Linked DNA regions of Alligator mississippiensis. The protein of the gene in region 1 interacts with the protein of each later gene in a pairwise test. Links are inferred from orthologs where the notes say so. Each region holds a gene or a part of one and is shown in the gene's direction. Other genes may lie near its edges.

Evidence for each region.
Region 2: the proteins of TRIP10 (region 1) and ABL2 interact in binary tests that used the Homo sapiens proteins (3 or more experiments, as listed by UniProt). The link is inferred for Alligator mississippiensis from reciprocal best matches to the Homo sapiens genes TRIP10 and ABL2.
Region 3: the proteins of TRIP10 (region 1) and ARHGAP12 interact in binary tests that used the Homo sapiens proteins (3 or more experiments, as listed by UniProt). The two-hybrid records come from large-scale screens. The link is inferred for Alligator mississippiensis from reciprocal best matches to the Homo sapiens genes TRIP10 and ARHGAP12.
Region 4: the proteins of TRIP10 (region 1) and WAS interact in a two-hybrid assay, tested with the Homo sapiens proteins (2 studies listed by BioGRID). The link is inferred for Alligator mississippiensis from reciprocal best matches to the Homo sapiens genes TRIP10 and WAS.

Annotation. Positions count from the first base shown.
Region 1 is NC_081831.1:24,056,046-24,063,014, forward strand, and holds the start of TRIP10 (cdc42-interacting protein 4), read left to right. Parts: upstream 1-3,969; 5' UTR 3,970-3,984; coding exon 3,985-4,035; intron 4,036-6,969. Other genes in the region: retinol dehydrogenase 8, read left to right, coding at 1-40, 1,311-1,541. UniProt on the Homo sapiens protein: Required for translocation of GLUT4 to the plasma membrane in response to insulin signaling. Required to coordinate membrane tubulation with reorganization of the actin cytoskeleton during endocytosis.
Region 2 is NC_081828.1:51,224,603-51,231,568, reverse strand, and holds the start of ABL2 (tyrosine-protein kinase ABL2), read left to right. Parts: upstream 1-3,949; 5' UTR 3,950-4,020; coding exon 4,021-4,207; intron 4,208-6,966. UniProt on the Homo sapiens protein: Non-receptor tyrosine-protein kinase that plays an ABL1-overlapping role in key processes linked to cell growth and survival such as cytoskeleton remodeling in response to extracellular stimuli, cell motility and adhesion and receptor endocytosis.
Region 3 is NC_081828.1:192,837,496-192,844,974, reverse strand, and holds the start of ARHGAP12 (rho GTPase-activating protein 12), read left to right. Parts: upstream 1-4,478; 5' UTR 4,479-4,587; intron 4,588-4,877; exon of another isoform or gene 4,878-5,159; intron 5,160-5,204; exon of another isoform or gene 5,205-6,041; intron 6,042-7,479. UniProt on the Homo sapiens protein: GTPase activator for the Rho-type GTPases by converting them to an inactive GDP-bound state.
Region 4 is NC_081831.1:28,376,233-28,384,027, reverse strand, and holds the start of WAS (actin nucleation-promoting factor WAS), read left to right. Parts: upstream 1-4,791; 5' UTR 4,792-5,643; coding exon 5,644-5,757; intron 5,758-6,132; coding exon 6,133-6,273; intron 6,274-6,936; coding exon 6,937-7,023; intron 7,024-7,441; coding exon 7,442-7,538; intron 7,539-7,671; coding exon 7,672-7,713; intron 7,714-7,795. UniProt on the Homo sapiens protein: Effector protein for Rho-type GTPases that regulates actin filament reorganization via its interaction with the Arp2/3 complex. Important for efficient actin polymerization. Possible regulator of lymphocyte and platelet function.

The DNA of each region.
Region 1 (6,969 bases):
TTTTGCCGCCCTGGCCCAGTCGCCGGCAGAGGTGGCCGAGGTAGGAAATCCCCTTGCCCACAAATCCTCCATTTTCTGGGGTGCTGGCTGCCAACCCAGACTGGGCATGACTCAGCACCCTCCACCCTAAAAGATGGGGGGGGGGGGGTGGACGGGTATGTCTCTGCTGTGACCCCTCCAAGCCATGGGGGGAGAGGGCAGGACCATCACCCAGGTCTCCCCAAGCAGGATAGGCCCTAAATCTACACCTCAGGGTGCCCGGAGCTGGGGTTTCTTGCAGCAGCTTTCTGGAACATGTCCTGCTGTAAGATTTTTTTTTCTGGGGGGCATGTCCAGGGCCCTTGTTAGTATCACTTGGATGCTGCCCCCCTCCCCAGTGTTTTGGGGGTTCAAGGGCAGACTTGGGGGGGGGGGGGGGGTCCAGGGTCCTTGTTATGTTCAGACCTGCTGACCTGCTTCCCCTGATTTTGGGAGTTCAGGGGGTGGGTCCGGCTGTGGGTGCCTGGCTGTGGGGGGTGGAGAGAGTTTCACTGACTTCCCCCCCCTCCCCCAGCACTTTGGGGGTTCAGGGTCTGGCAGGAGGCGGGGTCTGGCCATTGGGGGTATCGGGGACTCTGGTCAATCTGAGATCCACTGACTTTGCTCCTCCCTCAGCACTTTGGGGGTTCAGGGTGGGGGGGCATGTCTGCAGCCCTAGTTGGTTTCAGACCCAGTCCCCCCCACCCCCCTAGCATGTTGAGGATTTAGGACCTGGCCAGGGGGGAGCTCTGTGTGTCCTCAGCCCTAGTCAGTCTGGGATCCTGCCCCAACACAATGCTTTGCGGGGGTCAAGGTTGGGGGTGGGGTGGGAACTGGATCCAGACTTGGGGGTATGTCTGCAGCTCTGGTCAGTTTCAGACCCACTGGATCCCCGCCCCCCGCCCACCCCCCAGGGTTCAGGGTCTGGCTGGAGCATAGGTCTGTCTCAGGCCTGGTCAGTCTCTACCCCTCTCCCTTGGCCTTTTGGGGGTTCAAGATCCAGCCATAGGCTTCAGATCCAGACCCCACCCCCACCATGGCACTTCAGGGGTTCAGGATCCAGCCGTGGAAGCGTCTATCCAGGGTCTTGCTCAGTCTCAGACCCACTGACTCCACTCCCCCCCCCCCCTGTACTTTGGAGGTTCAGGATCTGGCCTGGGGAGGGCGGGGCATGCTCAGGGTTAGAGCAGCCTCAGACCCACTGATCCCTTTCCCCAGCACTTGGGGAAGATCTGTGTTCCCGGAGCCCCAGTCGGTTTCAGGCCCTGGTCCCTCCTCCTTCCCCTCTCCAGCACACGGCTCGGGTGATCACGTCAGAGTCGCCGCCGTTCCGGTCCCAGACCAACAGCCTGTATGCACCGCTGGCCACACTGAAGCACGCAGACACTAGCGGGCACTTGCCCCTTGCTGCCTTCCAGCGCCTCATCTTCCAGCATGACCGGCTCTTCAAGGCCAGCCTCAGCCTGCTCAAGCTGCTGCAGTGGCGCAAGCGCCGGGACATGGACCACACCAAGACCCCTTGAGCCCCAGCCTTCCCCCCCCCCCCATACAGCCACCTCCCCTCTAGCATCCTCAGGAGGGCGTGAGGTGCCGGCTTTTTTGTGGGGCGGGAATGGGGCAAGGGTGGGGAGTAGGGATCTGGGTGGGGCTGTGAATTGCCCCTGGGGGCTGACCCCACTCAGGGGAGGTTCAATTTGTACTGTGGATTAAAGCAGCAGGGAGACCTGCATGGTGAAAGGCAGAGGAGAGGCGTCCTCTTGGGCTACAGATGGTGGAACTCGGGTGTCCGGGCTCCCAGCCCCCCCCATGACACCCCAGACCGCACTCCCAGAGTTGGGTGAGAACCTAGGCATCCAGGCCCCCAGCCCATCCCTGCTCTGACTCCCCAGACCTCACCCCCCTCCCAGGGCTGAGAGAGAACCCAGGTGTCTGGTTCCTAGGCCCCTGCTCTAACCACCCCCCGCCCCAACTCCCCGGAGCCAGGGGCAGAACCCAGGCATCTACCCCCACTCCTAGAGCTGGCGAGAGAATCCCAGCTGCCCCTCACAACTTGTTCCAACCCTGGTACAGAGCAGGACCTGCTAGAAGATGCTGGTAAGAGAGCCCAGCAACTACCATATTTCTTGGCATAGCAATGCCCAACCTGTGGCCCATATGGGGGGTACCTTAGGAACATTAAGGTTATCCAGGAAGCAGGTTTGAGGAGGCATTGCTGTCCCCAGGTTCACTCCCTCCTGCCCTGGGAGGGGAAACTGAGGCACACACAGAGTGGCAAAATGACCTGACTAGACCTATGCAACAATGAGACTTGCATCCCCAGCTGGCACCTGCAGCCCTATCTCATCCTCCCTCTATGCTCTGGGAGGGGCTGGAGCTGATCTGAGGTCAACTTGAGGGAGTACCCCAGCCTCTACAACCCCCCCCCCCCCCCCCCCCAACTGGGCTGTTTGAGTTTGCAAAGCTAAGCAGGGTCTGGTTGGGTTAGAGCAGGGATGGGAGACCCAACTGAGAGTTAAGTGGCCTTGGTTGAAGTTAGCTCTTGGGGAAGGTAACTTTTATGTTTCTATGAAGCATTTTGGGGCCAGAATGCACGTTTTGGGGGGGGTGGGGGCAGAGGTCAATCTTGGAATTGAAATGCGACTGCTTCTGGGGTGGAACCACAGGGACAGGAGGCTTGGGGTCCAGATGTCTGGGTTTTTCTGTTTATACATCTTTAGTTAGTCTATAAGGTGCATCTCTCACCTGCCTTTGACCTACACAGCCAAGTACCCGCAGCTCCACCAATCCCTGCACTCAGCCCTGCCCTTCCACCAATCAGTGTGGAGCCCTGTGTGTGAGCCTGCCCCTGAAAGGTAGCCAATAGGAGCACAGTAGGGCAGGTGTCAATGGGGGCTGTAGGGGTTCATGTCAGCATGGAAGGCTGAAGCTAGACATGATTTTTCCTGTGAAACTTTGGGGCAGGAACTACATTTCCCAGCATGCTGTGTGCCATGGGCTTAGGTGGGAACTACAGCTCCCAGCATGCTCTGGGGCCCTTGGGTGCAGCCACTTCTGGGGGGAGGGGCAAGGAGGCTGCGCAGCCATTGGTGGACACAGAATCCCTGACCTAGTTAAAGTGGGGCCTGGGGCCAGGACTTGGGGTTTCTGCTCTGGGAGGGGCAGGTCTGGGCTGGGAGTGCGGGTGCCTGGGGTCTCTCTGCTTGGGGCAGCGAGGGGCTGGAGCCTGGACTCCTGGTTTTTGCTCTGTTTGCGGGAGGGGCTGGGACCTCCGCTGCCTGGGTTGTCTTCTCTGCTGCTGGGGGGAAGGGTGCTCAGACACCATTTCCATTTGGGGCAGCGGGGCAAGAGGCTGCGAGCCTGGATGCCTGGGTTTTAGTTTCCGTTGGGGGAGGCTGGGAGTCCAGATGCCTGAGTTCTGCTCCTATCGGGCCTCTCTGGCGCCAGGCGCACAAACCTCTCAGGCACACAGACCTCAGCGAAGAACATGCTGCTCTTGGCAGGGGGGAGATCTCGGCTGCCAGAGGCCTCAGGAGACCTGGAGGTGAATAATTCACTACAGCAGCGTGCAAATAGGGAGCTCTGCTGACCGTCCAGACTTGGCGCTTCTCCCTTCCACCCCCTCCCTGGAGCTGCCTTGCCAGGGCCCCTTCAGCCTGAAGGTTGAGTCATCGGCAAGGACACATCACCCTCCATCCTACGCCAAAGTCTGTGGCCAAGTGCCTTTCCCTCAGTATCTCATTCCAGCTTATTCAGCCTGGCCTGAAAAAAAACAAAAAACCAGCTGCTGCAAATCAGAATGCTCATTATACATGAGAAATATGGGAAGAACAGTTTCAGCCCCTTGGTAATACTTTTGGTGTGAGATTTCCCCTGGGTGCCCAGCTGCTGGGTATCAGAGTGCTCATTTATATGCAAGAAATATGGTAAGAGCTGTTTCGGCCACTTACTGGGCACCCTGGAAAAACTATGGAGCAGATCCTCAAGGAATCCATTTCTAAGCACTTGGAGGAGATGAAGGTGATTAGGAACAGTCAGCAGGGATTCACCAACAGCAAGTCATGCCTGACCAAACTGATTGCCTTTTGTGATGAGGTGGATGCGGGGAGACCAGTGGATGTGGTATACTTTGACTTTAGCAAGGCTTTTGATACAGTCTCTCACAACGTTCTCGCAGGCAAGCTAAGGAAGTGCGGGCTGGATGAATGGACTGTAAGGTGGATAGAAAACTGGCTCAAACATTTGGCTCAGAGGGTAGTAATCAGTGGCTCGATTTGTAGTTGGCAGCTGTTATCAAGTGGCATGCCCCAGGGGTTGGTCCTGGGGCCAATTTTGTTCGGTGTCTTCATCAACGACTTGGAAGATGGTGTAGAGTGCACTCTCAGCAAGATGGCAGATGACACCAAGCTGGGGGGAGTTGTAGATATGCTGAAGGCTAGGGCTAGGATTCAGAGTGACCTAGACAAATTGGAGGATTGAGCCAAAAGAAATCTCATGTCAACAAGGACAAGTGCAAAATCCTGCCCTGGGATGGAACAATCCCATGCACCGGGACAGGCTGGGGGCTGACTGGCCTGGCAGCAGCTCTGCAGAAAAGGACCTGGAGGTTATAGTGGACAATAATTTGAATATGAACCAACAGTGTGTCCTAGTTGCCAAGAAGGCTAACAGCATCCTGGGCTGCACTAGTAGGTGTGTTTCCAGCTGATCAAAGGAAGTGATTATTCCCCTCAATTCAGCACTGGTGAGGCCACATCTGGAGTACTGTGTTCAGTTTTGGGCCCCCAGCTACAGAAAGGATGTGGGGAAATTGGAGAGAGTCCAGTGGAGAGAAAAGAAAATGGTGAGGGGGCTGGGGGACTTATGAGGAAAGACTGAGGGAACTGGGTTTATTTAGTCTTCAGAAGAGAAGACTGAAAGGGGATTTGATAGAAGCCTTCAGCTACCTGAAGGGTGGCTCCAAAGAGGATGGAGCTGGACTCTTAGTGGTAGTGGATGACAGAACAGGGAGCAATAGTTCAAAGTTGCAGCAAGGGAAGTTTAGGTTAGATATTAATAAAAATTTTATCACTAGGGGAGGTAGTAAACCACTGGAACAGGTTACCCGGAGAGGTGGTGGAATCTTCATCCTTGGAGGTTTTCAAGACCCGGCTAGATAAAGCCCTGGCTGGGATGATCTAGTTGAGGATGTTCCTGGTCTGAGCAGGGGTTTGGACAAGGTGATCTCCTGAGGTCCCTTCCAACTCTAATTTTCTATGATCTCAGAGCCAATTTCCGTAGTGATCCCTTTGGTATGAGATTTATTGGGCAGTCTTCATTCTTCAGATCAGCCCAGAGATCAACAGGTAAATCCTGAGATCATCAGGAAAGCAGGGCTGGAAGGGGCCCCACAAGGTCTCATTTAGCTCAACCCCCTGCTCCAGGCAGGATCTCCCTTAGCTAAACTAGCCCAGACGTCAGGGTAGACATGCACCTTCTAGACTTATGAAATCAGCTTGCTTCACCAGATGCATCCTAAATCATCCAACCTGCATCCCAGTGTCCATCCAACCTGCTCTTGGACACAGCCAGGGATGGAGACTCCACCACATGTCTGGGCAGCCTGCTCCAATGCCAGACCACCATGAGTGCCTGATGCCTCTTGAGTCAGGGGGGAACATGCCCCCCTCCTCTGACACCAGTCAGTGACAGGGGTAGGAGGTGGGGGAGGGGTCCATCTCTTAGTTATGAGATTAAAACCACTCCACCCTGTTCTAGGTTTGATGAAGCCTTTGCTATAGAAGAATTTCTCTGGGATTTTTCTATAGTCAGGAAAGGATTGGAAACAAAGAGTTGGTATCTTCTGAGGTAGTCTGGGATCTAACATAGTGGTGGATAGGTTAGGGTGCAGAAAGCAGATCAGTCAATGGTAGAGGGAGCACAGGTCAGATAGCAGAAAGCAGAGCAGCCAATGGAGCAGGGAGTATAGGGAGGGAACAGAAAGCAGAGTAGCTGATGGAACAGGAAGTTCTGGGCAGGGAGCAGAAAGGAGAGCAACAGGTGGGGCAGGGAGCAGAAAGTAGAGCAACTGATGGGGCCAGGAGCCCAGGGTAGGGAGCAGAAAGGAAATTAGCCAATGGGGTAGGGAACAGGAAACAGGGCTGCTGGTTGGGCATGGGAAGGGATCAGAGTAGTGCTCAGGGAAGGGCCTGGCATTACTCTGTGGCTCCCTGCCAAAGAGGTCACCCCCCCACCAAGTTAGTCTATACAGTGCCATCCCTACCCCTGCCTGTTGCCTGACCCCAGGCTATGATACATGTTGCAGTGTCACGATTCTCCTCCAAGGGGCACTGGACCAGCACAGAAGAGCCTCTCCCAGTCAATGCAACCAGGTCATTCCTAACTGTATCCCATGCTTGGGGCAGAGGTGGGGATTAGCACCCCAAACTCTCTCTCCTTTTTGGGCTGCTGGAGCAATGGTGGGGAAGAAGTGAAGATGCCTGGCAGTGAGACAGAGGAGCTATAAATACTTGAGCAGGAAGGCGAGGACTTTGAGCTGAAGGACAAGGGGTGGCGGGAGCCAAGAATAGATTTAGGCCTGGAAATGAGGAAGGTGTTGAATCAGGGGTGGCAAACAATCTCCTTGGAAAAACAGAAGGGCAAAGAAAAAATACCCTTCTTTTAAATAGTTTATAAGCTGGAGCTGGCTCTGACCGGGATTAGCCAGCAGCCAGGACCCCAGAGCTCCCTGTTCCCAGTACGTTAAAACGAAAGCCTTTTTAAAAAGCATGAGACTGGTGTTAAGGTATCACAAGGTCTGGCCAGTGAATGCAGCTTTTGAATCTGCTGGGGGTGGGGAGGGGGTTGGATGTACCTCAGCTCATTGAGCTGGGAACTCAGTTTCTATATTTACTAGCCTACAATGTACCCAGGAATCATCTCCCATCCCCCATCAGGGTACATGTCTGAAGTGGA
Region 2 (6,966 bases), on another chromosome or scaffold:
TCACAGGGCCATAGCTGTGCCTGGCCTCCTTTTAGCCACAGTGTTGTAGGGGCCAGGAGTTAAGGCACCCCACCCCACCTTTCACCAGGGTGGTAATTGGCCTGGTATTTCCAGGGGACTCCAACACCACTAGGAGCCCCAGCAGGCTACCCATCCCCAGCAGGGTACAGCTTTTAGGTCATGCCCAGGACCAGGAGCCTCAAAACCAACCCCTTAAGCTCCTGCCCTTACCTCCAAGATATTACATACAGCCTTATAGCCAGCCAATATTTCTACCTAACTTACCAGTAGTGAACAGCTCTGTTTATATAGGTGGCCAGAGATCTAAAATGGCTGCTGCAATCAAGCACCTGCTGGCTGCTTGTCTCAGCACTTAAAGTGGCAGGCACCAACAGTGCCCTGCCACAGACTTTTAGATGTGAAATAATGCAATTAGCATCTGCCCTACACAGTTTTCTCTTCTACCTTCCCTATTTCCATTAAAAGTGTGTTTTTTACAGTGCTTTCTTGTGACGTGCATTTTAGTGAGTCAAAGGAGTGTGTCTTCCACTTGCATCCTGGACCTTTATGTATATCGGTCCCACACTTTAAAGAAGAGAACTTGAATTTGAGTTGATATTTAGTGAGGAGCTAATGCAGTGAACAGAGGACTGGTTTAATTTATGACACATGTACAGGGCAGCCAATGGTACGAGCACAAGCCTTCCTAGAAGTAGGGTCGGAAGGGACCTTGTAGATCTTCAAGTCCGACCCCCTGCCTGGGCAGGAGGAAAACTGGGCTCAAATGACCCCAGCCAGGTAGGCATTGAGCCGCTTCTTAAAGACCCCCAGGATAGGAGCCAGCACCACTTCCCTTGGAAGTTGGTTCCAGATCCTAGCCGCCCTAACTGTGAAGTAGTTCTTACAGATGTCTAATCTAAACCTACTCTCCAACAACTTGTGGCCGTTATTCCTTGTTATCCTGGGCGGTGCTAGGGGAAACAAGGTCTCCCCCAAACCCTTCTGGTCCCCCCTAGTGAGTTTATAGACGGTCACAAGGTCCCCCCTCAGCCTTCTCTTGTGAAGGCTGAACAGGTTCAGGTCCTGTAGCCTTGAGGGGATACAGATCCCTTCTGAACCCTGATGAAATATATGCCCCTGAATTACCTATTCTCTAGATTTTAGCCAAGTGAAAAATGAAGAGAGAGCAGCAAAACGTGGGGGCAGAGGAAGTTTGTTTATGACACAGACATCCCACACATGCCATCAACCAGCAAACATTTTTTATGCCTTGTACTATTCCATCCTAGCAATTGTTCACTGCATGCTAAACCATTATCTAAGAATGTGTTGCCACCTTGCAACTCTGTACCAATGTGGTTATCATGCACAGGGTTTTGTTCTTTCTTTGCATAGCATTGGATTAAAACATTTTCACCCCTTTTACCCTGGGTTGACATAAACTGCTTGACTAACTGCATGTTCTAGATTGCATCAACATATGACATCTGTGCTCCACGTGGCTACCATGTGCAGGGTCTTACATTCTCTTCAGTCTCTACAAAGCCATGTAAAGCTATGATTCTTAACTTTCATTAATAAAGTGTTAATTCTCTCCCTAACTCTCCACCTTCTGTGCACTTTCTCCCAGTGGTGAACTCCCTTAGCTTTTAAGTACTTAAGAGTTTTATCCTTTTAATCAGAACATTTTCTGATGCAGATACATAGCAATTTTTATGTAAGTTTTTGTCTTAATGTGCCTTGATGTTAACAAAACTATTTTTACCAAACTGGTGATTATGTCAGTTACCATGCAGGGGCAGAAAATCTCACTGAGTTTTAGAAGCCACTGGTTGGTTAGTCCTCTGCAATCCTCAGTGTGGGGCAAACTTTTTCTAGCCTTCACCATTTGGACTGGCTTTGAACACCCACCATACTTTTGTTCCTGCTTATCTAAAATGGGGCTGGGAAGGGGGATGAATTCCTATACAAAAAGTGTGGGACTCATTCCTACCAGATGTTGTGGAAGCCAAATTCAAGAAGGGATTAGAGCAGGGGCGGGCAATTATTTTGCGCGGAGGGTCGCTTACTGAGTTTTGGCAAGCCATCAAGGGCCACATGACAGGAAGCTGGGGACAGATAAATATTAATTTTCTAAAATTTTTAGGGGCCCCATGGGCCAGATAGAATGGCCTGGTGGGCCGCATCTGGCCCACAGGCAGCATTTTGCCCACCCCTAGATTAGAGTCATAAGAGAAGTAGTGCTGGAAGACACCTCCAGAGGTCACCTAATCCAGTGGTTCTCAACCTTTTTTGTACCAGGGCCCATTTGTAAACATTGATGGCCAATCCTGACCCAATAAATAGTTTGAGTAGAAAACAGTCCCCTTGCCCTGCTGGTGCCCCTCACTCCTGACCTGCTGCCTCCTGCCCCCCCAGTCTGTGGGGTAGGAGTGGGTGTGTGGAAGCAAGGGGAGCCTCAAACAGCCCCTTACAGGCTGAAACTCTGCCAACCTGCAAGGAAATACCCCCAGTTTCCCATGTTTTTCTCCTTTAAGGGAGAATCCATTTTTAAAGTTTGTCTGCGACCCTTTCCTATATTCTTGCGACCCACTTTTGGGTCACGACCTATGGGTTGAGAAACACCGTTCTAGTCCACCCCCCTGCCTGATGCAGGATCATCCCTATCCTAACCATCCCATAAAAACCCTTATTTAAACTCTACGTAAGACTGCCCTCAACCCGGACACAACACAGACCTAACACCCAAACCTACCACAGCCTCGTAAAGCAAGGGGAACCAGGGCAGCCAATGTCCTGCTTCTGTGAACTGTTACTATATGCTCAAGAAGTCCCTGGTAGAGGGCTACATCCCCCCCTCTGCCCCCACCCGAGGAAACATTGGACACAGTGTTAGAGGAAAGGGGTATCAGTAGCTATTGAGCACAGGATTTAGGGATACAGCCTCTGGATCAGAACTTCCTAGACCTTAAATGCTGGAGATTGCAAGTGTGAGGAACATTGGGAAAAGCCGTGGCCAGACCCAGTTCACTCCCCCTTTCAGCATCCTCTCTTTGCCCCTGTGTGAAGCAGGAGACCCAGCAAGATGGGCCGATGGTTTGAGGCAGTGAATGGCAGCTCTTATATTCTTAAAATCCTGTGTTGGAAAAAGGGTGGGGATGGCATCACCTCCAAAAGCCTAGCCCTGGGGACAGAGAGGTGGGGTTGCCAACTTGTTTAAATCTATTCCAGGTTTCCCGAATGCCAACAAATTTGTGAGACACAGCGCAAACGTGCCGGCGTATATCAGTTACAGATTACGATGCATAGACTTCACGCCAGGAAGGCAAATGCACATTACTATTACATTTTTAAAACCCACTGGACTACTGTATAAATTGGACTCAACGTTTAATTTATTTGAATGAATGCCCTATCATTGATCTCTCCGGTACCTCTCAGCAGTCTCCTGGAGACTGTATCTATTTCCTGGAGACTCCGGGGCAATCCTGCGGGGTTGGCAACCCTAGAGGTGCTCAGCCCTGTCAGCCTGAGGTGAGGCAGAAGGCAGGGTAGGTAGATTTGCACCGGCCAGACTCAGGACATCAGATAGAGAGAGCAGGAGCGCGGGTGAGCCCGGGTCACTTCCTCAGGCGCTTGCACAGCATCTGAGGAGATGAGCTCGTTCCCCGAGGATCCTGCTCCGCAGGTCTGCAGCGAACCGCTCTACGAGGCCCTGGGGACTGGAGGGGGAGGAGGGGACACGCGGGGCGGGGCGGGGCCGACCCCCTCGGAGGACCGGAGGTGGCTGCGGGAGCCACTCTGCCCCCTCTCCCGCAGCTCTGTGGTTAAGATGGCGGCGGGGGTTGAGGGGGCGAGCCCGTGACTCCCAGGCCGGAGCGCGGCGGGGCGGGGCTGGGGCCAGCCCTGTAGGGAGCCGCCGGGCCGGGGGTGCCGAGGCCGCCCGCCGGGCCGGGCCGGGCCGGGCCGGGCCGGGCCGGGCCGGGCCGGGCCGCGGAGGCGGCATGTGATCGGGGCGCGATGGGGCAGCAGGTGGGCCGCGTCGGGGAGCCGGGCGCCGCTCTCCAGCAGCCGCCGCCTCAGCAGCAGCAGCAGCCGCCGCCGCCGCGGGGCCTGCGGGGGAGCAGCGCGGCCAGGCCCGCTGGGCGCCGGCGGGAGGCGGCCGGGCGCGCCGCGGAGGGCGGCTTCAACATCTTCACCCAGCACGGTACGGGCCGGCCGGGGTCTTCCTAGGAGCCGGCGCGGGGGCGGGGGGCGCTGGGCCCCTCCCGCGGTGGGAGGGGGCGCGGGGCGGGCGCTGCTGGGAGGGGGCTGGGCTCCCGCGTGGGCTTCCCGGCCCTGGAGGGACGTGATAGAAGGCGGCTTTCCCTTGGGCCGCTGCCTTACCCGCGCCCGCCCACATTATGTCCCACCGTGGCTGTGACAAGTTTGGCAGCTTCTCCCCCATGTTCCCATGTCCCTTGGGGCCGAGCAGGTGTTGAGGGTGCTGGAGAGCCGGGACTGTCACTGAGCGGGGCTGCCCCTCCTCTGTCTGGGGGTACAGCACTGTCATCCTGCTTGTGGGATGGTGTTTCACTTGCTCAGTGAGGAGGGTGGCTCCTGGCAGGCAGTGGCCTAGGGGCAGCTCACGCTTCTTGGCCTGGCTTTAATAACTCGGTCCTCTGTCAACCGACTCTCATGTGTTTGAAGTCCAGCTTTGCTTGTCCCAATGTGCTTGTCTTTTCCTTCTCATTGTCAACAACCCTCTGTGGTGCTGCCTGTGAAGGGAGAAAGTCGGTGGAAAGTAGGGAGCTTCCGCAGGAGAAAGTCAGCTTAGAAAAAAAGCCTAAACAATAGATGCGACAATCTTTAATCCCACATCTTTCCTGTACACTTTTTCCTTTTTCTTTTCTTTGTGTGGCATACTTACACTGTGCTGGTATGCACTGAACCCTGGCAGGTTATCAAGAGTAGAAGTCTTATATTGGTGCACTTTGTGATGCTAAAGACCTGAATCCATTTCTGAGAACATTAATTGATTTTGTTGCAGGTGAGGAAGATAATGCTCCCATATTCATGCTGCAAAATGCTTCTGAGAGCATAGATTTTTCCAAAATCCAACAGAACAAGCAATGAGTATTAAGATCTTAAACAGCTTGCCGGTTCTTTAATGTAAATATCATCCACTGTTGCTGCTGATAATGGACAGCCATAGGAAATCAGTGCAGGTGCAGGGATTTGTGGGTATTTACAAAATGACACAGGCAGCTTCTAACACTAAATTTATTTCCTAAATAGAAAGTGTGTATTTGTGTGAGTCTAAATATCTGTTGATATGCTGCCTGTTGACTTAAGACATGGTTCTGACTTAAAATTTGCACTTCTAAATGTCTTACCTGCTATAATTGCAAGTTAATTATAAGAGCTGTAACTGTTAAGGAGCTGTTCTGATGATATTCATATACTCAGTTTTGTCCTCTCTCTTGTATAGTCAGCCAATTACTCTTGGCTTCCTAAGTCTTTCAGACAGCACCACAGGGGACAGAGATACTAATTAAAATAGGAAAATGATTGTCAAAAAGACTGCTGGTAACTTCTTAATGTCTACAAGTTTGAACTAGGGCAGGAAATGGGAAGGGTGTTCAGAGGAAGTATAGTACTGTTTTTGGAACCTTATGTAGGTTAAATGTGATGCAGTTAAGCTGGGGTTAGGTTTTCATTGCTCTTTCAACTTACTCTTTTGTGTATGTCTCTATGCTGCAAGAGTAGCCAAGAGTAGGACTTCATTGTGCTAAATCCTTTCCTTGCTTGGTCTCTCAACAGGCAAAGTAGGCAAAGGATTGAAGAAAGGGAGGATTATTAGCCAAGTTCTAGGGAACTGAGGCACAGAGAGGGGTCCTTCAGCTGTTGCTTGGCAGAGCCACAGAATTGGCCCCCCACAGTTCCTCAGCAAGAAGCAGCTCCTGCTCTCTTAGGTCTTTGTACATATCTCTCTATATAGCTGAGGACAGAGGGCGCATGGAATGAGTCCAGGTTCAGAGCAGAACTGGTCATTTGCCCAGCAGTAAGAGTATTTCCCTGTGGTATTAATGATGTAGGTTATTAAACGTTACAGAATTGTTTTGCTATGTACAGTATATTGCTTGCTTCTGCCTTTCAGCTTGTACAGTGAAAATGCCTGGAGACAGTTTTACTTTCAAGCTCTTGGTGTTTGCTTTACTTTGTTTGTGAACAGTTCAGAGGGATATATTCATTGGAATTTTCAAGGTGAATATGCATCATCCTATTTGTTGGGTTCCCTAAAAAGCCAGGTGGCTGGTTTTGTTTTTGTTTTTTTGTCTGTTTTTTTTTTAAACAACTAAACTTGCATGACATTCAGGTGCAAGCTCTGAATCCCAATGCTGCTTCAATCAATACTTTAGTCCTGCTAGTATGAGTTTCTGCACCCAGTTACATTTTACCAGAACTAATTAGTGCCTTGGAGACCACAACCAAAGCCACTAGAGAGAACTTACCATACTGCACTCTAGTCAGAGTTGAATACTTATATTAAAACAAGTCATTGCAGGCAGCAACCTAAGCCCTTTGTGTAGCCTGGGCACAGTTAGATAATCAGGAACTCATTTCCTTTTTCAGAGGGGTTTCCCTACTTTTATCTCTCTTCCACTTGCATTTGTTGCTTTCTCTTGCTCCTGTCCTTAGTCTTTCTTCCCTTTACAGTACTTTGGCTCCCTGATCATCTTCAGGAGGCACACTTCATCTGCTGAACTTCCTTCAATGCATGATCCTTATTTTCCTTGTCCCCAAACGGTTCTGGCTGCTTATTGCATTCCACTTAATTTGGTTTCCTTCCTTCTCTTTGTGACTAGCTTTGTACCTTGTTATATCCGTGTTCAGTTCCTTCTTCTGTTAGAGGGGCAGTATAGTCAGCATTATTTGCTGTGGATAAATGATAGAAGGGATAAGAACACTGGTCCATGTATTCTA
Region 3 (7,479 bases), on another chromosome or scaffold:
TTGGCTTGGCATCAGGCAACCATGAACACCTTATGAGGCTTTCTCTTGTCTGACCAGGGAAAGCTGGGTTGAGGTGACAGCACCACTATGAAGAAGATCCATCTCTGCTACTAGAGCTTACTCATACACCTCTTACAATCTTGTATTCCATGAATTGGTAAAAGAACTGGTAGCATGAAGAAACTTTTATTTTAAACTAAAATGTTTACCTTATTTTCTGTTTGTATACAGTTCTGCAGTACTTTTTATATTTCACTTGTTCCTGCTCATTAATGTTGCATTAACACACAGGTCTTTATCTATTAAACAAAAACAAACTTTTTTTCAGAAACTTTTGTGACCTAAGGGTGGCTTTCTTTAGCTCTCCAGGAGACAGAAACAAGACACTGAGAAAACTTTATGTTATGGCTCTATTACTGACAATCCTTTCCTTATAAATTTATTCCAAGGAGGAGACATTCCTAATTTAAAGGAATAATTTTGCCTTCAGTATGTTTTGTCTGCTAGCTTGAGCAATTGCGTAGATTAAGATAAAACTAGTTGTGCATAGCTGACTGATTTGACTGAAGTTTTAGCTTTGTACATCAGTGCTAGAACAAAGTTTTTAGATCAGTGTAGCACAAAGAAATGTCCTTTTTACCTATTATTTGTCATAAAGATTCCATCAGCAAACCATCTAGTAGTACATTTATACATTTTAATTCTGTGCAATGATTCACAACTACATGATGCTGAAATTGCCTAACATGAAAATTACAGATTTATGCTGGGCTAGAACTTTTTTAATGTTTTGGGGATAATTCAGGTACTTGTTTCTGAAAAGCACTAAATTGAGGTATCTGTTTTGGTTAGACTAAAAGCTGTTTTATGGTATTTTTTCCCCCCATTTAATTCAGGCAGATAATCAGGTGATTGTGAATTTGCCAGACACTGTGTTGTAAAGCACAGTAATCATATTTGCACTGTTATACACTGGAGGAATTTTACAGAGAAACTTACAAATATTCAGCCTCATAACATCTACAGGTAAATAAATGTAACCTTCGTTCATTTCTATTAATTGTTATAAAGTAAAAGAACTCCTCTGGAACTTTGAGTCTGGCAAACTGTCCTCTTTAGCTTAATAATGAAACACATATCTTCACTGAGTTTTTGAGAAATAATTTCTGATTAAAGCAGATTTTTTTTGCTTTCTTGTTCAGTATGTTTTCTATACATTTGGTATTTTTCTTTTCCATCACTCTCCAAACAAAGATTCTGCATACAGCTGTCCCTCGCTGTATGCAGATTCTGTACGTGCGAATTTGCTTTTCTGCGATGACCCTTTTTATACCAAAAATTAGTTATATGAGAGGTAAATTCACTCTTATCCAATCGGTGTGGTGGAAACCCACAGTCAGCTGCTTTGTGCAGTGCATTGTGGAAGTGATGCGCACCAATACAGTCTCCTGTTTGGATCTGTGCTCCTCTCTCGTCTGCAACATGTGTTTCTGTAGTTGCCGTCCCCATTATGATAGTGCCCTGTGCTTGTGTGTACTGCCCGCTGTTGGTGAGTACCAAAACTGTCTTGTAAAAGTGGTAGAAATGGGTCTGGGGATCAGTACAGTTGAGGTCTTGGAACGTAGCCCTATTTGTTACGTTGTAAAGTGGGTTCCCTTTATGAAAATTTGAGTTACGTGCTGTTTTCTGAACGCGTGTACAGCACAAAGGGAGGGAAACCTGTAATTCACAGTGAGATCAGTCTGTTCTGTTAGGGGAAGATCACAATCTAAATAATGAATTAACAGCTTGGAATTAGTAGCATATGCACATTTCAAACAGCAGATTCCTATTAGATACCAACCATCAGTTCTACATTATGAACAGTGAAATGTTAATGTCAAATCTGAAATACACAGAGTTTTTAAACAAATCAGAACACAACCATTCTTAAAGAATCACTGCAATTAAGTTATAAGATAGTGGACTGCTTAACAAGAGGGAGCAGGGGTTCAATCAGAGGAATTACAGAGAACAGGAAAACAAAATTAAAATGAGACCTGGAGATTCCAGTTTATAGGACTATGATATATAGCTAGTTGACCCTGCTTTTTCCAGCATTTGAACCTAGGTTGTATATTTTTATTTAATGTATAGGTCAGGTACCAGGTACCCAACGTTAAAAGACTCGCATTGTTTTCAATAGAGTAAATAGAAAAGGTACATATCCATGTTCAGCTTATGAGATATAAGATGAGAACAGCTCCAGTGGTACGGATACAGGAATTTAAAATTTTGTAATAATCTGAAGATTCCTGGAAGAGTATTTTTCTCCACCACCCACTCATTCTATGTACAACACAGCATCTTCATTTTCTTTTGATCTGTAAATCATACCAACTTAGGAAAAAATATCATATTCATTATTTTATTCTAAAATCCTGTGTAGTACAAAAGTAACTACACCAGGATATAAACATGCATTAGTTGTTGTCAGTCTGGTTTCTTTTCACATCCTTGAAGGGGTTTTCAGTCAGTTGCTATTCCTCTAAGGTTCCACTCCAGAAACATTGTTAGGTTGCTGGCAGTGCACATTTCAGAAATATAAGAAAATACTTTTAGTGTAAGGAGAGAAAAAGAGAGGACATGCAATATCTAGTTACAAAGTGCTCTGAAATGGAATTGGAAAGGCGGCAGGAGGAAATACTGTGGTCAAGAACCATTGCTGGGACTCAGGTTGTCTGGGTTCAGTTTCTGGCTTTGTCACAGCCTCACTGTGTTATTTTGAGCTAACGATGTAATCATTCTGTGCCTGAGTGTCCAGCCTTTTCCTCATATTTAGCTTCTCTTTATTCCTGCCATTAACTTGCCAATACTTATATACATTGGGAAAGGTTTGTACTCTTATCACAGCTTTAAGTACAGTAACTGGCATCTTCATGGCTGGGCATGCACCTTAATCTTGGCTGGGCATGCAAATGATACTGTAATACCAATAATAATAAAACAGACAAAAATAAGTAGAAGAATAAGTAGAAGAAACACAAGAAAGTAATGCTTTCCCTGCTTTTTCATGGTTTATTTTTCTGATCAGAATTCCAGTAATTCCAAATGAACACAAACAACCAATGGATTATAAAACAGCCAGTGTATTTTATTTCTCTGGATGTTGGCTGTTGTGTTGCTGGACCTCATCACAAAGCCTTGTATCAGATTCATATACCTTCCTAATAGCTCCACTTAAGTTCACATAGCACATTTCATCACAAAGGGCTTCCCAGACTTGGGACAGCAGGCTGGCGGTGGGAGCTACATGTGCAAATTAAGGGCCATTAGCTGGCTGTGTAGGCTTTGTGTCACTTCCCCTGTTCTTGAAATAGTCACATGAGGTGTCTATATGGCAACCATTTGGCATCAGCACAGCTGTGATATACACGTCTTTAAGTGGGTGATTAAATGTATTGAAATTACAGAGAAATATGGATAGGGCAAATATACAGTAGTAACTAGAAACTGTTTAGGAAAGTCTACCTGATCCCAAAGGACTCTTTCCTGACTGTTCAGAGTCTGGGCCTCAAAATTACTTAGCATCACCTGGCATCTTCAGCGACCTGTCCAACTTATCGCTCTGCTGCTCTTGGGGCTGACTCACGGGGCGGTGAATCACCGCTTCCCCACTGAATCACCAGCCCATATCCTGCAGCACCCCGGCTTACTCTGGCCGTAAGGAGAATAATCACATCGCTGTGCTGGATATTCAGATACTTTTGTGCATGTGTTAGACATGTCATTAGATGAATCGCAACATGTTCAAACTAACTGTGACTGTTAACTTATGTGTAGCAAAATTATTGGAAAGCAAAGCTTTTTTTTTAAATCTAAAAATATCAGCCTGAATTTTGTATCCTAAGTCTGTTTTCACATTTTCAATCGTTAAAAATTAACCGGCAAAGAAAAAACTCCTTTCCTTTTGCCTTAAAAGCAGGAGGGGAAGAAGAGCGTACACCCTTCATCCTCTTTACGACAGGTAAGGGAGGCAGCGGAGAGTTGCGTATGAAAGGTTTCACTTCACTGGCACTGCACATTGCTCCTGCCTAGCTGCTCCCTCCTTCCTGCAGATTTCTCTTGTCCTTGCCCCCTACATTTCTTTCCCCTCAGGACCCCTCAGATACACGTCGCCATCAGGGCATCGCTGTCCTCAGGCCCGTGGCCCGGGTTATCTGGGCTCCGGGTGTCGTGAGGAAGGGGCACTTCTAACAACGAGGCAGAGCTGATTTGCTCCTTGTATTGCACACGCAGGAGCTGGGGGCGGCGCTGTCGCGCGTGAGAGGCTGCAGCGGTTGTGCGCGGCCGCGCGTCTGCCCTCGCCACAGCACCGCCAACCGCCACAGGGGGCGCGCGGGGTGCGGGGAGGCAACGGCCCGCCGGGGGGCGGGGCTCGTGGCCCTCTTGGGGCCCCGCGAGGCCCCGCCCCTCCCCCGTCACGTGACGGGGGAAGCGGTGACTCCGCCTGCCCTGGTCCTGACTCCGCGGGGCGGGTGCGGCAGCCGGAGCCGCAGCTGCCTTCGCGCTGGAGCGGGACCCGGACCGGGACGCCGACCCCCGCGGGTGAGGCGGCTGCTCCGTGGGAGGCGGGAGAGACAGACCCACGCACCTGCTCGCGCACTGCAGCCCCGCCCCGCCCCGCGCTGCGCGGCTCTTGCCGCCCCGGCCCGAGGCCGCTCCGGGCGCTTTGGCACGGCCGAGACGGGCTCGGGGGCGATGGGGTTGTGTCGCGGGGGCGGGGCCGAGGGCCCTGCCTGCCCGCCCGCACGCGTGCCGTTCGTGCCGTGCCGGGCCGGGCCGGGGCCCGGGGCGCTGCTCCGTCGGGCGCGCAGGTGCGAGGAGCCTGTTGCTGCTCGGGCCCTTCCTGCGCCTCGCGCCGGCACGTGTGAAGGGGGGCTCGGCGGCCGCTGCGCTCGTCTGCACCGCGGTGTTTCCCGCGGGGGACGCGGCTGAGACCAAGGCGGTGATGGGAGGTGTCTCCGGCCGAACCGGAAGTGGTGGCCTGCTGGGGAAATCCACCAAAGGCCCCAGTCCATCTCTCTGGTGGCACTGGTTACCGTCGGGTCGGCTTTTGACCCTCGGCTTGTGTTGGAGCACCTGTTTCAAGAAATGTGCTTGCACCGGATCTGCCGCAAGTGCGGGGAGGGCGCGAGAGGAGGGGTAGGGGTGGGAGAGGGATCCCACATCTAATCTGGCCCTAGTGTGGTTTCAGTGGCTTCCTGTGTTTGCGCCTCAACTTCATCAATCTGTTTGTTGTTGGATTAATGAATGTGTCAGTGAAATGCCTGCTGGAGCGGTGATACAAGAAGCGCACTGTGCGAGTTGTGCATGAATGCATATGACTGTCGGAGCGGATGGAGTAACTGTCTGTATTTTGTTTGCAGCTTAGCCCCTTGATTGCATTCTAAATTTTAAAATTTCACAGTAGTGTTCCCTCAAACATGCCCTCCAACTACGAGTGAACACTGGAAAGAGGTTTTATGGTTCTGTGAGTGATTTGGAGGAAAGGAATTCAGTCGCTAGATTGCAATCTCCTCTTGGGGACGGACAGAGTCAACAGCTATGATTGCTTCTCACATTGCTGTCGCTCGCTCGCTCGCCGGCAGTTCTCTGTGTTGAGAAGCTGGGGGATGTGGGAAATGTGGGAACGGGGCTGACCAGAGTGCTAATTTTATTCATTTGAAATTTGGAGAGGCCTGAGCAAGTCTGCGTGTTTCTTTTCTTTCTTCTCTTTTAAAATAAATTTCATTAAACTCACGTACTTCTATGTGTAGTTACTCTTATTCAGTTTTGAGTGCCTTATTTTGTTTTAGGTTAACTTGGTTGCACGTGATTAAACTACACTGAAACAGTGCTACTCTTAAACAGTGTAAAGTGCCTGGATACAAAGAATCATCTTTTTAAAGCAACCTAGTTAAACCAGTGCAAGCTGAGATGAGACTCTAGATTGTTTGTTTTATGAATGATCCTCTTCTGACCTACTGAGAGCTGAGAACGAGGGAAGTGTCAAAACAAAGGTATTGTTTCATTAAACCTGCTGAAATCTTTTCAAGAGTGGTATTAGACTTTGGACCTGAGGCTGCTGAAAAAGAAGCAGGAGAGGGCTTTCTTTACTTCTACTAAGGTAGAATACCTACTCAGTAGTGCTTCCCTGTAAAACTTAATGTTAAGTTATGGTCTCTTAAAAGAAATGTTTCCCTTGTTGGTTTGTAACCTAAAAATTCTGCATGTAAGCTTTAAATGTTCTGTATTACTTTGTTTATGTGTGATACACATTTACCTGTATTCAGAGACAACCATAGTGAGGCCTGGGGGAAATCAGCCTGTGCAGGGCCTGGACACGGGGGTGGCAGCGAGTGGCTGGACGTGAAGCTGGCCCAGCTCCGCATGGTCCCTCAAAGCGTGGGGGCCAGGGCAGTTGCCCCGATTCAGCCCCGCTTCCCCCCAAGATGGCTCTGCCTGTATTTCCCTTTTATGCTAGTATGAATTTATGCCTTGCAGATTGTCTAGTTGTTCCCTTGGTCAGGTAAAGCTGGAAAGCCAGAGAGCAACTAAAATAAAGTTAACCACATCTCAGAGGTTGGCATCTGTTAAAAATGTACATCGGGACTGGGCTCAGATTGTTAGTAGTGAGTTTTTCTCTTGTCTTTTTGTGATCGTGATTGGATCCGTTCTTTATTAATAAGCTCTTCATGAGATCTTCATATTTTAAAGCCTACAGTTACTTAACTGAGGTAATCATTCCATGTCATTTTTTCATGTGAGATTATTGAAGTACTTACTTCAGTGGGTATTTTTGCTTTATATTTGACATGCTAGGTGAAATTGTGACACAGCAAGGTTGCTAGAATAATTCTGAAGTATCACTTGGGCCAGTGTCAGAAACTGGAATAAAACCCAGCATTTCTGCCTCCATTCATCTCTCTTCTCTTCTAACGTGGTGGCACACGTGCTAAGGGACAGTTTGTAGCCTAGAGTTTGCAAGTTCAAGGCCATAGCATAAGCACTCACAGAGAAGCCCTGTCAAATTCCAGCAAATCTGCAAATTCTGTTAAATGCCTTGTTACACAAAGACATCAAAAAGGAAAGGACCTGCACTAAATTGTATCTTAGAGGTTTGACTAGGCCTCTTATACTTTGCTATTTTGAAATATTAAAAGATGGGGACTGAGATCTGTGGAAGTACTAAATCATTTATTATAATTTTTTACTAAGATAAAACACCTTGAGTGTTGCAGCTGTACTATATGCAGTCTATCTAGTATGGCAAAGTAAAAATTTGTTGCATTTTGGAAAGGCGTGATTAAGGTACATTGGCTATGAAATTACTTGATGTTGAACATATTGCCTTGTACTGTGGGTGGGAAATGATAAACTCTAAGAGTCCCTATTAATCTCTTAAAGCATCTTGTTTGATCCTGATATGATCTGTTCATGAAAATACATTAGTGGCCC
Region 4 (7,795 bases), about 4.3 Mb from region 1:
AGCTCATCTGGGCCTGCCAACTTAAAGGCATCCAGTTCTTCCAAGTGACTCTGCACCATCTCAGGATCTACATATGGAAGTCTGGCGCCTTGCTGCTGCCTCTCTACAACCCCAGTGAGAGACTTGTCGTGTCCCTCACTTAGGAACACTGAAGCAAAGAACTCGTTGAGGAGTTCAGCCTTGTCCCCCCTGTCTGTCACCAATTGTTTCTGCCCATTTATCAGGGGTCCTATTCCTCCCTGGGCCTTCCTTTTACTCCCAATATATCTAAAAAACAATTTCTTGTTGTCTTTTACTTGGGTTGCCATCCTCAGCTCCATGGTAGCTTTGGCCCGTCTAACTGCCTCCCTACAAGCACGAGCAGAGGAGGTATATTCATCTTTAGTGATCTCACCTTGCTTCCACTTTTTATGTGCTCCCCTTTTGGCCCTTAGGCTGCCCTGGATTTCTCTGGTCAGCCATGGAAGCCTCCTGGCCCCTTTCCCTCTTTTGTCTCACTCAGGGATCGTCTTGCTTTGTGCCCGAAGGATCGTTTCCTTAAGGCACAGCCACCCTTCTTGGGCTCCCATCCCTTCAAAACTCCTACTCTGCAGTGCGTCCTTGACTAATCGCCTGAGTTCATTGAGATCAGCTTTCCTAAAGTCTAGCACTTTCACCCTACTATTTACCTTACCCACTCGACGTCTTATGTTGAATTCTATTATTAGGTGATCACTGTCTCCCAAATGGCTACCGATCTGGAGGTCCCCTACCATATCATCCCCTGTTGCCAATACCAGATCCAGTATAGCATTCCCCATAGTGGGACCATGTACCTCCTGTGTCAGATGGAGGTCCTGTACACAGGTTAGAAACCTGCGTGAGCAGTGGGACTTTGCTGTCTGAGTCTCCCAGCAGATGTCCAGGTAGTTTAGGTCCCCCATGACTACCGCCTCTTTAGCTTTTATGGTCTCCGAGAGTTGCCTCAGGAGACCCGCATCTATTTCTTCTCCTTGGTGTGGGGGTCTGTAGCAGACCCCTACCACCAAAGCCCTTTCTCCTTGCCCCCCATGTAGCCTAACCCACAATCCTTCTACTTCCTCAACCTCGGATTCTGTCTTGATGAGGGTTGATGTATATTGCTCACTGACATAAAGTGCAACCCCCACCCCCCCCTTTCTTCCCCAACCTGTCCTTTCTGTACAATCTATAGCCCTCAATATGTACCGCCCAGTCATGGGATGAATCCCACCAGGTTTCTGTTAGCCCCACTAAGTCATAGGTGTTTAGTGCAAGCAGGAGCGCTAGTTCATCCTGCTTGTTCCCCATTTACTTACTTACTTGACTAAGAAGAGAGAGAAAGAGAAGAGAAAAAGATGCTGATGCTATGTGTTTTATAATGTTCTAAGATAAGGAAAAACCTTCATGCCTTGTTTTGTCTGTGTGCAGATGTTAACCTCCTCCTTTCCGCCGAACCAGAAGCTGATAACTGTTCCCAAAACATAGTGTTTTTTTCTAAATAAGTAAACTGCTTGCATGTGACAAACAAATGATCAACATCTCTCTGTTTCTCTCAAGGTTGCTTTGTCTGAATCCTGCATCTTTTCTCGCTGTCTAAAGTATAAATACGCTTGTAAATTTGTAGAGGTCAGAGCTCCTTTGAGAACTCTCCCTGTGATCACTTATATAGCTTTAAATAAACCTAGATGGCTCTGCCAATTCTAATACAACCACAACGCGAAGTTTGATTTCTTCCACAGTAGCTTCCCTTAATCAGCCAAGCAAAGGGAGCAAAAAGGCATGCCCAATCCTTCTCAAACATTTACAGTCAGGCTTGCTATGATACATAGCTTTATTGATTGGAGAGGGAGGGCACAGGGAAGGAATACAAACCAAAAGGAATTTTGAAACAAAACAGCCTTGAGCAAAACAGTATAAGGGGCTCGTTGGCCCGTTCAGTATGCGTCTAGAATGCTTAGGTCTAAGTTACTGGCTCCCGTTCAGATCAGTTACTCACAGCAACATCCAGAGGATTCTGGAGGTACACAGCTTGATTCAGCGACCAAAAGATGTCTCTATGTCCTAAGATGGAGGGACCCTATTTATAACCTTTCTGACCTCACCACCTGGACCCAACCAGGTATTTTCTGAGCATCACTGATGCTGACCAGTGAGTTTGAGTAACATCAGCCCTCACCTTGAGAAGGGACCACTATCTTAGGACTGCCCTCCCAGGTCAAAGGTGGGAAGTTTAATAATAGCCTGGCCAGGGAGAGGGAATCTCTCCCTTTCCCTAGGGCAGGGGTAGGCAACATTTTTTGTCCGGAGTGCTGAAAAACACCATAATGCCGATCTCGGAAGGTGCCAGAGTGCCGGCATGGCAGAAAAACAAAATGAGGGCACGGGGTACATGGCAGGATGCCTTGCTTGTGCCCCTTGCCCCCCACACAAAGCCCCCGGCCCCCAGCCCTGCTGCCCCTTGCCCCCCACCCAAAGCCTCTGCCCCGCAGCCCCTTGCCCCCACCCAAAGCCCCTGTCCCTCAGCCCTGCTGCCCCTTGCTCCCTACCCAAAGCCCCTGTCCCTCAGCCCTACTGCCCCTTCCCCCCAGTCCTGCTGCCCCTTGCCCCAAAGCCCCTTCCCCCCAGTCCTACCGCCTCTTGTACCCCCCCCCGCCCCCAAAGCCCCTGCCCCCAGCCTGGGCTCTCTGGCTGCCAGCAGCTACCCCGGCTCTGTGCAGCTACTGGACCCCGGGCTGCTCCCAGCAGGGCTTGCAGTATCCCAGCTACCTGCTGGGAGCAGCTCGGGATCCGGGCTGGCAACAGCTACCTGGAGTTGGGGCCGGATACAGCCGGCAGGCTCCAAACAGCTGTGCCAAGCTCATTGCCTCCATGTGGGGAACGCGGAAGAGACCGGAGCTGCTCTACCTCAGGCCCCGCCCCCACCGCCCGCTCCGAGGCGCCCCTGCACGCGCCGGTGCAGAGCTGGTGTCGGAGCTGCTCAGAGCCCGGCACAGCTGTTTGGAGCGTTCTGGCTGCAGCCGGCCCCAGCTCTGGGGAGCTGTTGCCAGCCGGGATTCCGGGCTGCTCCCAGCAGGGAGCTGGGAGGCTGCAGGTTCTGCTGGGACCAACCCAGGCTCGTCGCTGGCAGCAGCTTCCCGGAGTCGGGGCTGGCCACGGCCTGCCAAGCAAAATGGCCTTGTGTGCCACGCTCGGCACATGTGGCAGGGGTTGCTGATCCCTGCCCAAGGGATCCCCTAGGCAACCAAGTGGATAGACACATGGGCAGAAAGAGAGAGAGAGAGAAGGGGAAAACAGACGGTCCAAAAAGAGGGGGCTGGGATGGAGTTTTTGTCATATACCTGTGGTCCAGTCATAGGTGGAGTCCCACCAGGTCTCCATAATCACTATGAGATCTTATTGCTTGTTGTTGGTTAGCAGGAGGGCCAGTTCCTTCTGCTTGTTTCCCATGCTTCTGGTGTTTGCGTACAGACTCCTAAGCCTGCCATTAGAAGCCCTAGGATTCCTGGTGTTACTACTAGGATTTCTTTTTGCCAGAGCCCTCCAAGGATTACACTGCAACTTTTCCAATGTGGTATCAATTGAACTTTAATAGTAATCCCTAGACCAGGATGGTCCAACACGGCCCATGGGCCACCATGCGGCCCTGCCAAGGCATTTTCTGAGGCCCACAGTGCTGCAATGGGAAACGAAAGTAAACACTGTTTACTTTTTTCCTGCTCCTTGTCCCTCCCCTGTCACCTCAGCAGCTTCCTAATGGCTGCTGAAGGGCTAGGGAAGGGACAAGGTTCCCACATGCACCGTGTCAGCTTGACATTGCTGACGCGGTGCATGTGGGAAGAGGAGTAGCCATGTGCCTTTCAGGACAGGATGAGCCCAGCCGGAGCAGCAGGGGCTCAGCTGCACTTTCCCCCTTCCTGCGCCAGTCAGTCCCGAGTGGCACATGGCTCCACTGCTGCCTCTGCTGGCTGGTGCTGACCCGGGTGGGTCTGTCCCATCCAGAGCAGCATGCGGCTGAAGCCAGATTCCCCCGTGCTGCTGGGGACGGGAGAAGGCCGGCCAGGTCAGCTCCAGCCAGCAGAAGCTCCAGCAAAGCCGTGTGCCGCTTGGGACTGACTGGCGCAGGCAGGGGGAAAATGCAGCTGAGCCCCTGCTGCTCTGGCTGGGCTCGTCCCGTCCCAAGCGGCACATGGCTCTGCTGCTGCTTCTGCTGGCTGGTGCCAACCTGGCCGGCCTCCTCCCGTCCCCAGCAGCACATGGGAAGCCAGCATGGGGGGCCTCGGCAGGCAGGGTCGTGGCGTGACCTCTGCGGGGCGAGGTGGTGGGAGCCAGTGTTTGCCGAACCCCGCGCTCCAGGCTTGCAGCACTGAGACCACTGAGGCTGCAGGCGGCCAGGCACCATGGTGAGCAGGGCCGCACGGGCAGGCGGGTAAGGGGCTGCGGTGCAGCGGCCATCTCGCTCCAGCCCCCCTCAGGCAGCGCCGGCTCGTGGGGCTGCGCTGCTCGGGGGATGGAGATGTGGAGCTATTTATTTCTCCCCTTCTGTCTTTGGGGCAGTAGCTGGCTGGATGCAGAATGGGTCCCTCCTGCCCCTGCCCACCAGCAGCTACCATGAACCTTGCCATAACAGGCAGGTGCAGTAGGGCTACACAGGCAGGGTCTCTTTGGCCCAGGACAGAGGGTGTTTGAATATGGCTTGCCGGCCCACTGGGTGATAAAAAGTTCATGATCCGGCCCCACATTCAAAAAGGTTGGACACCCCTGCCCTAGACAATATTACAGGTTTTCTCCCCATAATACAACCTGGCAAGTGGCTCCTTAGATGCTACAGCAGTGACCCTCAGGGGTACCAGGACTCAGGTCCTCCACTGGGTGTGTGGGCTCTTAGTTTCTGGTTGCTTCTGCCTCCCCAGAGATACAACACAAAACATACATATTCCTTTGTTTGTTCATTACTTTTTAATTGTTTCATTCCAAATAGTCCAATCCCCTGGCTCTGTGCCAAGCACTTTTTACGTGATTCACCAATCCCCTGGCACTGTGTCAGATATATTCCTTATAGGGAAACTCTTGTGTCTTGCTCACCTAGTGCCCAAGCACAGCACTCGCCTCTCCCAATGCCACAGAAGGCGTTGTGTTCAATTTTGCTGCTTAGCTCTGGGAAGGCCTGGACTATGGCTAAAAAGCCTTAACATAACTCAGTTTGCCTGTGACACCTGGTGAGCTGTGGAATAACCTATCCATTGGCCGGTGTCGGAGAATGCTTCCTATTGTACCCTGGGATTCTGGCTTCAAGATTGTAATTTCTCAGACTTGTACTAATAGTTGATAGCCCATCTCCCGGCCATCTCAGTTTAAAGCCCTATCCAGAAGGTATGCCATTCTAACCAAGAAAAGCTTCTTCCTCTTTGGTGTGAGGTGGATGCCATCTGTTCCCAACAGGCAGTCCCTGATGTGTGTGCCGTGGTTGAAGAAATTGAAGCCCTCGCAGTAGCACCAGAGCCGGAGTCCTCTGTTCATTTATTCTATGCATGTCACTTCCCCCTGCGCTGCCTGGTGGTTTCAGAGCTTCCTGCGGAAGTTCCCTGGGGTGCGGCCAGGCCCAGAGGGACCCGAAGACCAGCTAGGGCCAAGGCTAGAGCCACAATGAGCCGTGGGGGCCGTATCGGGGCCCCAGGACCCCAGGACCATGTCCCCTCCTGTCTCCTCCAGCCCCATGAGAACCAGCAGGTGTTCGAGCTCCTGGGTCGCAAATGCCTGGTGAGGCCTGGGGGGTCTGTGGGTTAGAAGTGAGAGGCACCATGGAAGGGGCGGGGGGCTGTGGGTTGGGAGTGAGAGGCACCACAGGGCTGAGGGTTGGGAGTGACGGACACAACTGGGCGGGGTACAAGTCAGGAGTGAGGGGCATGAGGGGATGGGCTGCGGGTAGGGAGTAAGGAGTGCCATTGTGGGGGCTGAGGGTCAGGAGTGAGAGGCACCACTATGGAGTTACTGGGTACCACTATGGGGGCTGCAGGTCAGTAGTGAGGGACACTGTTGGGGCTGGGAGGGTGCGGGTCAGGGGTGAAGGGCACCACAGGATTGGGGCTGGCTGCAGGTCTAATGCTCACCCCCTGTGGCCTCCCCCACCCTCAGACCCTGGCTACGTCGGTGGCTCAGCTCTTCCTGGCGCTGCCACCTGGGGCCCGGGGCTGGGCCAAGCAGGGCTGTGGTGTCGTTTGCTTCGTCAAGGACAACCCGCGGCGCTCCTATTTCATCCGCCTCTATGACCTGCAGGTTACTGTGGGACCCCATCTCTGGGACATCCTCCCCAGCCCCCACCTTCCCTGACCCCAACCCTGACCCCTTATATTGACAGGGTACCCAGGAATCTGGGACCCCAAACCCCCACCCCCCGACCTCAACCCTGACCCTCTAGTCTAGATGTAAAACCCAAGCGTCCAGGACCCAGACCCCCACTTGCCCAAGCCCCTAGTATGGGTAGAGAACCCAGTTATCTGGCCCCCTAGACTCCTCCCTCCAGTCCTTAGGGTGGGAAGAGAACCCAGGCATCTGGGATCCGGATCAGCCACAACCTCTAGCACAGGCCAAGAACTCAGGTGTCTGGGCCTATAGCCCCAGTCCCTAACCCCTAGGAAACACAGGGAACCCAAGCATCTGGAACTCCAGCCCCTCACCACTTCAATCTTTAGCATGGGCTGAGAACCTAGACATCCAGGAGCCTGGGACTGCCTCCCCCTGCCCTCCCTGACCTCAAACCTTGACCCCTAGGATAGGCAAGGAACTCAGTCTTCTGGGTCTCCCCCCAACCACCCTTTGAAACAGACAGGGAGCCCAGACATCCAGGCTCCCAGCCTCCCCACCCCTCCCCACAACCACAACGCAAGCCAGGGAACCCAAGTATCCAGACTAAGTCCATCCGTCTGTCTATCCACGTAGGGGTCACAGCTGCTGTGGGAGCAGGAGCTCTATGCCCAGATGACCTACATTGCTGCCACTGCATTCTTCCACACCTTCCCGGCTGACGTGAGCATCTCTGGATGCCTGGGTCCCCACCTGGATGCCTGGGTCACATCCCAGTTCTGGAGGGGGGCAGGATGGAGCTGGGAGCCCAGATGCCTGAGTTCTTATCCCAGTTCTAGGAGGGGGCAGGTCTTGGAGGGATTGGATCTTGAACACGTGGGTTCTCAGGAAAGGGTTGGGGGGGAGCAGAGGCTGGGAGCCTGGACACCTGACTTCCCAATCCGTTCTAGGAGGAGGAGTGGGTCTGGGGGGTAGGCTGGAGCTGAAGCCTGAATGCCTGGGTCCTCTGCTGGCTAAGGGTGGGGGTTGGAGTGTGGTATTGCACTCTTCCCCACACGGATGCCCTGGTGCTGGGCAGAATGGGACCAGCCGGGGGGCCAGGACCATGTCATTCCCCCCATGCACTGCCCCTGCCCCCCAGGAGTGCCAGGCTGGGCTGAACTTTGCTCATGAGGGTGAAGCTGATGTCTTCCGGGCCCTGGTGGATGAGAAGATGAAGAAGCGTCAGCAGCGGCTTGGTACGTATCCCCTAACCCCTGTGAGTCTCACCCCAGATCTAGACCCGGACCCTGGCCCTGACCTGCCAGGATCAGGCCCAGAATCAGGCCCAGGATGGGGCCCCGCACCCTCACTACTGTCTCCTCCTTGCAGACAAGCGGCAGCTCCCAGCTTTGCCCCCCGCCATAGCCGAAGGTGAGTCCCCCAGCATCCCACAGCGTGGGGGGTTGGGGTCCAGGTGTATATGTGGAGGGGTGGCATGAGGGTGGGAGGCTCT